2 linked regions of the Caenorhabditis elegans genome follow. The protein of the gene in region 2 purifies or fractionates together with the protein of the main gene of each other region. This does not show direct contact. Each region holds a gene or a part of one and is shown on either strand. Other genes may lie near its edges.

What was found.
Region 1: the proteins of tbp-1 (region 2) and npp-13 purify together in Caenorhabditis elegans (affinity purification with western blotting, with the first as the bait; one study listed by BioGRID). This does not show direct contact.

The regions. Positions count from the first base shown.
Region 1 is NC_003279.8:2,095,437-2,100,345, reverse strand, and holds the start of npp-13 (Nuclear pore protein), read right to left. Parts: upstream 3,001-4,909; 5' UTR 3,000-3,000; coding exon 2,901-2,999; intron 2,847-2,900; coding exon 2,607-2,846; intron 1,757-2,606; coding exon 1,640-1,756; intron 1-1,639.
Region 2 is NC_003281.10:7,380,787-7,388,543, reverse strand, and holds tbp-1 (TATA-box-binding protein), read right to left. Parts: upstream 4,512-7,757; 5' UTR 4,506-4,511; coding exon 4,298-4,505; intron 3,674-4,297; coding exon 3,111-3,673; intron 3,059-3,110; coding exon 2,894-3,058; intron 2,849-2,893; coding exon 2,762-2,848; 3' UTR 2,420-2,761; downstream 1-2,419. Other genes in the region: Tetratricopeptide repeat-containing protein trd-1, read right to left, coding at 339-586, 1,341-1,428, 2,253-2,315; T20B12.3 (nucleolar complex associated 4), read right to left, coding at 4,723-5,338, 5,387-5,497, 5,544-5,923, 5,971-6,330, 6,378-6,425; hmg-4 (FACT complex subunit SSRP1-A), read left to right, coding at 6,949-7,185, 7,293-7,757. UniProt on the Caenorhabditis elegans protein: The TFIID basal transcription factor complex plays a major role in the initiation of RNA polymerase II (Pol II)-dependent transcription.

The DNA of each region.
Region 1 (4,909 bases), on a different chromosome or scaffold from region 2:
ACGAGCACGGAACTCTGGTTCCGCTCATAAATTGAAATGGAAGAGTTTTTGCCGAACTAGGCCAGGTCATATCTGGGGGTAGATTTACGGTGCGTTGCGTGTCGCGTCGCGGCTCGATTTTTGTTGTAAAACTAAATGTATTTGTCCGTGTGGAGTACACGACTTTCCCAAGGCGATTGTCAATGGAGCGCGAAAAATTCTATGAGGAAGGCCAGAACCCCCTGTTTTCCATGGTCTCCCGGAGTGTTCATAATTATTCGAGCACGACACCTCACGAACTCCAGAATTCGCGGGAATTCGATTCGCGCGGGGACAGCAGTTTTTGGCTATTTCCGGCTTCTATAGAAATTCTTTTTTGAATTTTTTGATTTATAATATTGTTGAGAAGCATCATACGAATTGAAAATGTGTAAAATTATGAAATTTGACCGAAAACTGAAGGTTTTACTTCAAAATCTATCAGAACCGTCAGTTTTTCGATTTCGTAGTCGTAAAATATGTCATTTTGTAGAGAGAAAAGAGTATTTTACAAAAATCGACGTTTGAAAATTTAAAATTGTTTTTATTAAAAACTGAAAATCTTTTATAAAAAAAAACGATTTTAAAGTAAAATTGTTGATTTTTTGAATATTTTTATATTAGAAATTAAAGGTGGAGTACCGAAATTTGAGACTTTGCTTTTTTAGACCTAAAATGTTCCAAAACTACCGAATTTCGTGGTGAGGCGTTCTGAAAATTTCTCAACAAAAAAGTTATGTCCGTTCAAAGTTTTGGAAAAAATGGTAGATTTTTAGCTAAAATCTCAAATATTAGCAGCTTTTCAGTGTTGCAGCGGTTGGAACTTAATTTTATTTGATTAGCACTCTTTAATACATATTATGGTAGTTTATTACGCGTTTATTCGTTGATTTAAGCCCATTTTCGGTCGATGGGTGCACAAATATAATACAATTTTGTGCACCCATCAACCCAAAATGGGCTCAAATCAACGAAAAAACGCGTAATAAACTACCATAATATGTATTAAAGAGTGCTAGTCAAATAAAAATTGAGTACCAACCGATGCAGCACTGAAAAGCTGACAAATTTGAGATTTTAGCTGAAAATAGACCATTTCTTCCAAAACTTTGAGCGGTCGTAACTTTTTTTTGTTGAGAAATTTTCAGAACGTCTCATTACGAAATTTGGTAGTTTTGGAACATTTTGGGTCCAAAAAAGCAAAGTCTAAATTTTTGGTGCTCCACCTTTAATTTAATATAAAAATACTCAAAAAAACAACAATTTTACGTTAAAATCTTATTTTTTCTAGACTTTTCAGTTTTTAATAAAAACAATTTTCAATTTTAAATTTTCAAACGTGGATTTTTGTGAAACAGACTTTTATCTACAAAATTAAATATTTTACGACTTTGAAATCAAAAAACTGACGGTTCTGATACATTTTAAAGAAAGCCTTCTGTAAAACCGTCAGTTTTTGGTCAAATTTCATAATTTTAAACATTTTCAATTCGGAAAAATGCTTCTCAACAACATTATAAATCAAAAAAATAGAAAATAATATCTATAGAAGTGCGCGCGAAACGAATTCCCTCGAATTCTGGAGTTCGTGAGGTGTGCCGCGCAAGGGATTTTAACGAACATCTCGTTCCATAGCCTGTGCTGGATTCATGGGAACTGCGGCAGGTCTCGAAAGAAGCATGTGGTTGAAGAATGCTCGATCCGTCTCCACTTTAACACGAGAAATGTCCTCGTCGAGCTGGAAAATTTAAAGATTAAAACGTTGTTTTCATGATAAATTATTAATTAATCACGGCCACCTGGAGTGTTCATAATTATTAGAGCGCGCTCGCGCGGCACCTCACGAACTCCAGAATTCGCGGGAACACGTTCCGCGGGAACAGCAGTTTTTTTTATTTTTGACTTCTATAGGAAATATCTTTGATTTTTTGTTTTATAATATTCTTGAGAAGCATCATCCGAATTGAAAATGTGTAAAATTATAAAATTTGGCCGAAAACTGAAAGTTTTACAGAAGGAAGCCACTACAGTTTTTAAAAAAATGTATCAGGACCAGTTTTGCGATTTATGTGTCGTAAAATATGTCATTTTGTAGAGAATTAAAAGTTTCATAAGAATTTTTGTTTGAAAATTTAAAATTGTTTTTATTGAAAACTTAAAAATTGAAGAAATAAGATTTTAACGTAAAATTGTTGATTTTTTGAATATTTTTTTATTAGAAATTAACGAATTAAAATTTCAAACGAAAATTTTTATGAAACTTTTAATTCTCTACAAAATGACATATTTTACGACGCATAAATCGCAAAACTGGCGATCCTGATACATTTTTTCAAAAACTATAGTGGCTTTCTTCTGTAAAACTTCCAGTTTTCGGCCAATTTCATAATTTTACACATTTTCAATTCGGATGATGTTTCTCAAGAATATTATAAAACAAAAAATCAAAAATATTTCCTATAGAAGCCAAAAATAACAAAAAACTGCTGTTCCCGCGGAACGAACTCCCGCAAATTCTGGAGTTCGTGAGGTGCCACGCGAGCTCGCTCCAATAATTATGAACACTCAAGGAGGCCGTGATTAAGTACTTCTTCCTCGTCAATATCATCCATTACAGCTTCAGGCACGTCCACGACACCTTCATCAGTGAGAGTATCCTCGGCGGTGTGACTTTTCGGCTGGCGGCTCGGAAGTTCGATGCCACGCTCCCCAAACATCATCTGCTTCTGAACTGAGTGCGTCTGACGTGTCCAGTCGCCTTCTGAACCGCCTAAAATACCGCAAAGCTCCTGCTCGACGCCATTTCGGACTGTGAATTGCTGCGAGTTCTGGAAAAAGGGAATTTTTCGGTGTTTTTAACATTTTAAACATTATTTACAAACCTCTTGGCCGACACGGTTGGTTTGGAAAATCGGATTAGCAAGCAATTGTGCGAATCCTTGATGATCAACTCTTCCGAGGATCTCCGTAAACTGTAGCATCCTGAATTGAATTAAAAATTGAGAAAATTACTGGTTTAGGTTTTTTCAAGGATTTACAACATTAACCAGTTTACATTAACCACATTTTCCAGTTTAAACCCTGAAAAATATGAAAATAATCGAAAAATATCGTTAAAAAACGTTTTAAAAACCAAATAATTCTCGTTTTTCGCGGCAAAACGAAAATTAATTTTGAAAAAATCGGTGCAACGACACTCCGAAATCCCGCATGAATCCTAGGCCAGTATTTCGAGTTCTAGGCCACCAGCTTCTTGGCACATTGCCAAGAGCTGAATTTAAATTAATTTCCGCTGGAATTGAATCGAATTCAGTACAAATTGAGTGGGAAAATGAAAAACTTACAAAAAAATTGAAAAAAAAAACATTTTCGATGAAAATGTTTCAAGAAAATTGAGTATTATTTTTAAAGAAAAACGAAAAAAAAGACATAAATTCGGGAGCGTGTCGTAGCATCCACATTATCGACTTTTCCGGTTAGAAGTACACCGCCAGATGGTAGATCGGTCTCAGGAACTCATGGAGCAGATAATAAATCACAAATTGGATGATTTGAACACTAAAAAACATTAAATTTCTTTTAAAAAAATGAATTATTTAGTGACAGTTGTGTCGAGAGCTTTTTTAATCAGTAAATGTTTTACTGGTCTATGGAAAATAATTATAAGTAAAAATTACTGGAACACAGAATTCAGAGAGCCCGTATTGCGCAACATATTTGGCGCGCAAAATATCTCGCAGCGAAAACTACAGTAATTCTTTAAATTCTTTAAATTACTGTAGTTTTCGCTACGAGATATTAATAATTTTGCGCGTCAAATTTGTTGCGCAATACGCATTCTCTGAATTTTGTGTTCCCGTGATAATTCAACAATTTTTCAGTGTAAAACAAATCAGGGATTTCTTTTGAAAGTTTCGGGTTTTTTTTCCACCACGCGGGGTACTGTGGCACCGGTTTCAGCTGTGTCAATGGGGAAATGTGTGAAATTGAAGCATTCCCAGGCATGATGGGGGTCATTTTACAGCTGAAAATCGAGAAATTCGAATTTAACGACAATTTAAAGAACATTTTTGAAATGAAAAAATTTCCAAAAAAATTGTTTTTTTTTCCCCAATTTCACTTTTTTCTCTAAATTACTCTAAAATTCACATTCTCCTCATTCTCAGCTTCAAAATGACTCCCATCTTGCCCATTTTCTGCCAAATTTCAAATTTTCGGGTCCCACCACGCAGGGTACTGTAGCACCGGTTTCAGATGTGTCAGTAACCTAAATAGAGGGTTCTTAGGCATGATGGGGACTCATAATTTGAAATGGAAGAGTTTTTGCCGAACTAGGCCATTTTGGTTCGGCCATATCTGGAGTAGATTTACGGCGCGTCGCGGCTCGGTTTTAGTTGTAAAACTAAATGTATTTGTCCGCGTGGAGTACACGACTTTCCCAGTCCGGCGGGCGATTGTCAATGGAGCGCGAAAAATTCAACGAGGAAGGCCAGAACCCCGTGTAATTTTACATTAAATTTCGCTTTTGTTGATTAGAAAAACAAGAAAATATATTCATAATTTTCTCTAAAAACAAAAAAAACCAATTTTTATAAAAATTTCGTAAAAACGGGACACTTAATTAGAGTACTACGGGGTTATTGCCTTCCTCATTGAATTTTTCGCGCTCCATTGACAATCGCCTGCCGGACTGGGAAAGTCGTGTACTCCACACGGACAAATACATTTAGTTTTACAACTAAAATCGAGCCGCGACGCGACACGCAACGCGCCGTAAATCTACCCCAGATATGGCCGAGCCAAAACGGCCTAGTTCGGCAAAAACTCTTCCATTTCAAGGGAAGCCAGAAATCAGTGTGTAATGTGAATACACCAAATTCGACGCGCAAAG
Region 2 (7,757 bases):
AGCATGCTAATGATAGTTTCGGCTGTCTTCGGAGGTATCGGAATCATCACTACAATCGTGTTCGTGATTCTGACAGTTCTTCATTCAAAAAGTGCGGTTTGTAAACCTGCAGGCAAAGAAGACATGAAGAAAGAAGAAACTGAACGGTATCGAAGGAATGCAAACAATCAAAGAAGAATGTGGAGGATCAACTGAAACATCCTCGTCGAAACCGTAGAAAAAAGCCAAGAAAGAAGTCTGATTTTTTTTTGAATAAATTTTAAATTTTTTTCAAAAAAAAAAAAAAAAAAAAAAAAAGTATAACCTTTTTATCCACATTTATATATTTTTTAACTTACAATTGGTTCAATTTCAGTGCGAATAGTTTCCTCTGGATCAATGAGAAGCTGTTGCCAAACTAGGTAGAACTCAAGTATAACACGATATCCAATTGGAGGTATATCAGAAAGATCTTTCAATTTTTCCACGTGTTCATGTGCCAAGTGTAGTGCCCATAAGGACTTTGACACAGCATTTGGTATATTCAGACCACATGATAATTTTTGGCGAGCGAGTTCTTCTGATATGAACGAGGATGTGTTATAATCTGAAAATAGCTTGAAAATTTTCTGTTCTTTTGAAACTTGAGAAAATCCAAATTCAAAAATAATGAGTGGTTTTTTTCAGTCCTTCTGATTTTTTGGTGCCAGGTTTCTTCAGGATGCCTACAATTTTTGACGATTTGCTACAGTTACGACTTTTAGTTGATTTTTTGTGAAAAATTCAAAAATAGATTTATTTTGATCCTCATCCCTAGAGGAATCCTATCTCATTATTGCAAAACCGCCTAACCTAAAATCAATGCGTCGTGGAAGGGGTAGAGAATCGAACCAAACCGTCGATTCCCACTAGACGAAGCCCTCATCCACCCAACCATCGCCGCCGACTCGTTTCGCTGTCGTTGGCTCCACATAGCACGAGAAGTTCTCCAGTTTCAACACACTTTTCGCATGCATGTGCTTGCTTTTTCCCCCGTTTTTTTTTCGTTTCGTCTTTGCTTTTTTCTCTTCGTTTTCCTTATTCTCCAGAGCACATGCACACACGAAGTAACACAACAGAGACAGAGGCTCCGGGCGCCGAGCGCCGAGCCCATACACCGACCGGCGCCTGGAGAGCACAGAGAAGCCAGCCTGTTGCACTTCTTTTTTGCAGCTTCTGGCTCACAGAGCACATCGAACCTTATACTATTATTTCTACTGTACGATTTTTGAATTAAAAAAAATAAGTTTTGTAATTGAATTTTTTTTCCAAACTTCTATCTCGTTTTAATATTTTTAGGGTGTTAAAATATTCATTCTTACCAGAATATCCAACATGATTACTGGCAAGAACATGAGTCACAAGTGATTCCACGAATTCCCAAATGTTGTCCTGATACTCAGAAGTGATCTGAAAAAATTGAATTCATTCGGATACTATGAATCTTTATATTTTCAAAAAACTGTTTGCGCAAAAGTGAGCGATCTTATAACCATGTGTTTTTTTTTTGTATTTTGACGAAAAATTAGTTTTTGGAAAAAAATCCAAAAAAAACTATTCTACATTTTTCGCGGATATTCTTTAGCAACATGTGATGTTTATGGTTCTAGTGTTGTTTTTTTTAATTTGAAACTTTGAGACCCGAAGAACTCGGGGGATGTCCAATTGGGGGGATTAGCAACTCGGGGGATTGGCCCCGCCCACAGAACCGTGGCTTGCAATACGCCCATTTCTGCAACTGCCGCACGGTTTTAAAACTGTATTTTTCTCAATAGAGCGAGAATTAACAAGAAAAATAATTTTAAAACCGTGCGGCAGTTGCAAAAATGGGCGTATTGCAAGCCACGGTTCTGTGGGCGGGGCCAATCCCCCGAGTTGGTAATCCCCCCAGTTGGACATCCCTCGAGTTCTTCGGGTCTCGAAACTTTTGCTCAAGTTTTTGAGTTGTTACGGATTCAAAATAAATTAAAATCGACTTTCTTTCTGGTTTTCTTGTGTTTTCACTAATTTCAATTTCTCTTTCGGAGTTTTTTCACTAAACCTTTAAAATTTCAGTTTGTTTGTTTTTTTTAAATTTTCCTAGTCTTTTGGCAAAAAAATTTTGGAGAAATTCTACTAAATTCGAAACTTAATTACTTTTTTAAAAACAGAATTGACAGTGAGATCGAAATCCGAGTTTTGTCGGGTTAAGAAATATTCTTTTATATCTGAAAATGTAGAAACCAATGAAATACCTTTTCAATATCTTTTTCATTTACTAATCCAGCAATTGATGCAATAATATCAGCTGGAATCATCTAAAACGATAAATTTCAATCTGAAATGTTATAAATTTGAAATATGAATAAATATATTACAGAAATTATCAGAAATTCAATTTCGTAGATTGAACAACAACTATTTTAATACTTTATTCTCAATAATACGGGAGAAATTTGAAAAACAAGAGGAAAGTTGAAAAGAACATTGATAATGTCACTTCTTCAAAAAAAAATAACATCAACAAAATTATACAAGGTACGGGGAGAAATGGTGAGCAGTAATTAATCGAAAGCTTATTGAATTCGAAACGATTTTATCGGATTGGTAGACTGAAGAAAGTGGTTCTAAAGTGCATAGATGTCTAAAATGAAGCTACTTTACCTGTATTATACGAGATCCGGGTTTAGGGATAAGGGAAGGCTTAAAATGAAACAAAAATTTGAAAATAAAGAAGAATGAAAACAATTTTAATAAAAGAAAGTTATTTTTTGAATCCCTTCAAGATTGGATAAATCTGCCCGAATGCTTCGTCAATGTCCCTCTTTGTTTTTGCTCCAGTGATAACAACCTGAAAATTTAACATAGAAAAGGTTATTTCATAACTTAAACTCACTTTTCCAGACACAAAAATAAGGAGCACAACTCTTGGTTTGACCATACGATAAATTAATCCAGGGAACAATTCTGGTTCGTAAGTACTGAACTGAGAGTGAGTAATGCACAATCCTTCAAGTTGAATCGGAAAACGAACATCACAAGAACCAACCATGTTTTGAACCTACAAAAAAATTATTCAAATGATTTTGTGACCTTTTTCCAGAAACACTTACCATAAATTCGGTAAATTTCGCCTGAAATCCCAACTTTTGAACAATTCTCGCATATTTTCGTGCTGCCAATCGACTTGCTTCTTCTGACTTCGCACCAGTGCACACCATTTTTCCACTCGAAAAAATTAAAGCAGTTGTTCTTGGTTCACGAATTCTCATAATGACTGCTGCGAAACGTTTTGGATTGTATTCGGCGTTTCTCGCGTGCAATGCAATCTTCTTCAAATCCAATTGAACTCCCAAATTGACTGTAGAGACAATGTTCTGAAGAGCTGGCATCGGAATATCCAATTGACTTGCTGGAGTTGCTGGAACCATTGTGGCAGCGATGTTACTTGCCGGAGCCTGATGTGTCAGAGCATCTCGATCATATACAGAATATGCAAGTGGTGTCATTGGAACTGTCAAATTCTGATATGCAACTGATGGAGGATTGATGTCCAAATTGTGATGCATAACTGATCCAGGATTACGATCAGGTCCGACTGAAGCTGGATTTATGTTCAAGTTGAGATTGGAGTTGGCGAGATGTGAATGCATTTGCATTGAAGAACCTTGAAGGCCTGAAATAATATAAATCTTTAATTTTGACAAACGGCTTTAAGACTGAAAAAAGGTTATAAAGTTGAAAGACTGGTCACGGCTAAAATAAACGTGCACAGAGAGTTCATCAGATTTTTTCATAAATTTTTTAAACTGTACAATATTAAAATTTCGAAAAAAAAACGTATTAATTTCGCTTAAATCTGAAATTTCGCTAACTTTTCCTTGTCGCATCAGTTAGGATACAGTTTTTTTTAATTAGTGTATTTTATTGAACAATTTATAATTTTATAATTTAGTTGTTTATCTCGCTTCACATCGTCGATTCAGTCCCATTTATGATCGACATGCCAATTATGTTCATTTTTAGACGCCTAACGACATAAAAATTTGCCGAAATTAACGAAAAACTAACAAAATATTCTATAAAGGGTGATAATTCAAAAAATCTGTAATTCAGCTGCTGTGATAGAAGTCTCGGGATTCAGCAAAATTCTGATTTCTTGTTAATTTACTTTTTGTCATGCCATAAAAAATAGTGAAAATTTTATGAGCAGTCTCTTTAAAAAAAATTAGTTAATTTTGGGCTAGTTTTATCCTTTTCAAGCAAAAACCCTGAAATGAGTTTTCCACAAATAACTTACTGTGCATTTGTTGTGATTGCATTGGTTGAATTGATTGTGGATTGAGAACACTTCCAGGTCCAAGAATCGAGTTTGGTCCCATTACAGAGTTGGGACCGTGTCCCGTGAGAATTGATGAGGGTCCTTGACCTCCAAGTACGGAATTCGGTCCACCATGTGCAGGGGTGTCACCGCCAAGCATTGATACAGCTGGGCTGTTAAGGTTCATTGTGAACTGTAAAAATATTTTTAATCAAAAAAAGAAAAATGGATAAGAAATTGGAACAAGATATTTAATTTAAATATGATTTCAGTGAATAAAACACTGGAATAATTATTTTAAAAGAAAAACAACAGTACTATTTTGAAAATTTAAAATATAAAAACGAGAAAACGGAAAAACAACAACAAAAGTGGAACAACAATAACTGTAACAAAAAATCTGATTAAATTTTCCATAAAGTTGGAACATCGATGATTGGAACTTGTCTATCAAGAATTCCTTTCGGCGCTTCAGAGTTCACACCGACTGCTCTTGTGACTTTTTCTTCGTGTTTTGGAGCGAATTTCCCACCAAATCCTTTTCTACGAGCTTTCTTCGGTTCCGGCTTTCCTGTTCCCTCTTCGTCTTCATCCCCGTCTTGCAGTTTTCGATATTTTTCAGCTTCTCCATCCTCTCCGCCAAATGATTTTGCCATGTTTACAGAGAATAACTCGTCGGTGCATCGGAATCGAACGTAAGACTCAATTTTTTGAATCGATTTATCAACGAAATGAGCTCGTTTTCTGACACTTTGATTCCAGTGACATTGAAGAAGTTTCATCTCCCAAAGACTTGATTCCAATGCGCGAGTTTTGTGTAAATCTGTCTCATCATTGTCGAAAGGATCATCGTAAAGAGTCTGAGGAACCTCACGATGAACCAATTCAGAACAGTTTGGATGTCTAATCACAAGATTTCTAATTAATCCAAGAATTGGTTCCTGAGCATCAATTGGAGCAAGAAGAAGGCATCGGGAGAGTCGTTTGAGGAACGAAGCAGTGATGTATGTTGGGAGATGGCTGAAAAGGTATGATTCAGAATAAATTTTCTAGAATATTGCAACTCACGTAGACGACAGGAAACTATCCAGAAGTGTCAGAATGGATTCTTTCTGACTCATATAGAGAAGAGATGGGTTCGTCAATGAATATACTTTGTCGTAGAATTTCGGATATTCACTGAAATAAAGATTTATATGAATCTATTTCAAATAAAATCTCTTACAAGTTATGTTCTGAAATAAGACGAAAAATAGCACCAAGCGAAAGAATTCCATGATAGTCAGTTTTGTCGAACATTTTGAAAAAGAAATCAGCAGATTTGAATGGTGCTTTCAATTTCGAAATGACGTTCTGAGTGATATATGGAATAAGTTTCAGTGTCAACTTGTCACTAATTTTTCCATTCATAACAGCCATCCAAACGTTGTCATAGTCAGTTGAGATCCATGTCAGCTTTCGTTTTTTCATACTTTTATCGTTGAATGGAGTTCTGACACAAAACTGGCGAAATAATGGTTTCGTCACTCGATCAGTTGGGTGCGGGACGAATGAAAGAAAATTGAACAGGTTGAACCAGGCGGTGGTGCGAGTTTCTTTTAGGTGCTGAAAATGTGTGATTCGTATAAACAAATACAGATATTTTAACTCACCGTTATAGACTTCACAAGCTCCGGGGAGATTAAGTGGAAAATATCATATCTTCCAAAAATTTTAGCGATTCCTCTGAGAACTGGACGCTGAATTCGCTTCGTGCCAAACAAGTATTGAATGAAACCGGTTACAGTAAACTTTAGTGATTTTGTAGAAACAATATCTCCAGTTTTTGCGTCTTTTTCGAAAAACTTTATCGTTTTAAAGTATTTTATGATGTCATCCGGATATTCGCATTCTTGCAAAAATTTAGTGAATTCTGCAACAGACTTGCTTTTGGGTTCTTCCCTCTCCAACTCATAATTGACATCGACATTGTCAGGCGCTTCATCTTCTGAGCCATCATCCGAAAAATCAGCCTGAAAAGGTTTTGGTAAGATTTACATGAGATTTTGCTATTTCTTACATTCTGCTCCGCATCATCATGGAAAAATTGGTCCAAATCGTCGTCCATTGCCCTGAAATTATTTGATTAGCGACGATTGCTATAAAAATCAGAAAATTTAGACATTTTTGAGAAAAAAAAACGAAAAAGTATGAATCCTTGTGAAATGTCGTCAGGTGTCATGTTTGCGTACAAAGTAATGCTCGGTGTTCACGTACAATCGAATACCGTAGTTTATTGTTTTCGCTTCGGCGCGCCAAAAATAATGCAACACTTTTCCCAATTTTTCTTCTAGAATCGATACGAATCTGATGATAATTATCGAAATCTTTTCGTTATTTCTGTTTAAATTATAAATAATCATATTCAATCTCTGGTAATGAGTATATTGAATTCATGAATTCATATTGCAAGAAACCAGAACAAATTTCACCGAAAAGAGGGTTTATTTTCGTAATTAGTTTCGCTCGGAAAATCGATATTTTCTTTCAGTGTCGCTACATTCTGCTGGAGTATACTTTCTGAAGTCTCTTCTTTCGATTTCTTCCCTCTCTCTCTCGTTAACTAGACTTATTGACAAACAATTTTCAGAATGGCTGAGCTCCAATTCCCGGGAGTTTATGTTGAAGATGTAGGTCATTTGGCGTTCGGAACACTTAAATTGACTGAAAAATCACTCAACTTCAAAGGCGATAAGGGTGGAAAATCAGTTAATGTCACGGGATCCGATATCGATAAACTGAAATGGCAAAAACTTGGCAACAAGCCGGGACTACGAGTCGGTCTCAACGATGGAGGTGCTCACCGCTTCGGAGGATTCAAAGATACTGTTAGTTTTTTGTTCATTTCATTTTGATTTGTTTTTAGTTTCATTTAAAACACTCTTGCTTTCTTGCTGCTTTTCAAAAAACTTCAATCACAAACTTGAAATTTCAGGACCTCGAGAAAATCCAATCGTTCACTTCTTCTAATTGGTCTCAATCCATCGATCAATCAAATCTTTTCATCAAAGGATGGAACTACGGACAAGCCGAAGTAAAAGGCAAGACTGTTGAATTTTCATGGGAAGATAAGCCAATTTTCGAAATCCCGTGCACGAATGTATCGAATGTTATTGCAAACAAAAATGAGGCAGTTTTGGAGTTCCACCAAAATGATGATAGCAAAGTTCAGCTCATGGAGATGAGATTCCATATGCCAATTGATCTTGAAAATGAGGAGGATGCTGATAAAGTTGAAGAATTCAAGAAAGCTGTTCTGGCATACGCTGGATTGGAAGCCGAGACGGAGCAACCGATATGTCTTCTCACCGACATTCTATGCACAACTCCTCGTGGAAGATACGACATCAAAGTTTATCCAACAAGTATTGCACTTCATGGAAAAACGTACGACTACAAG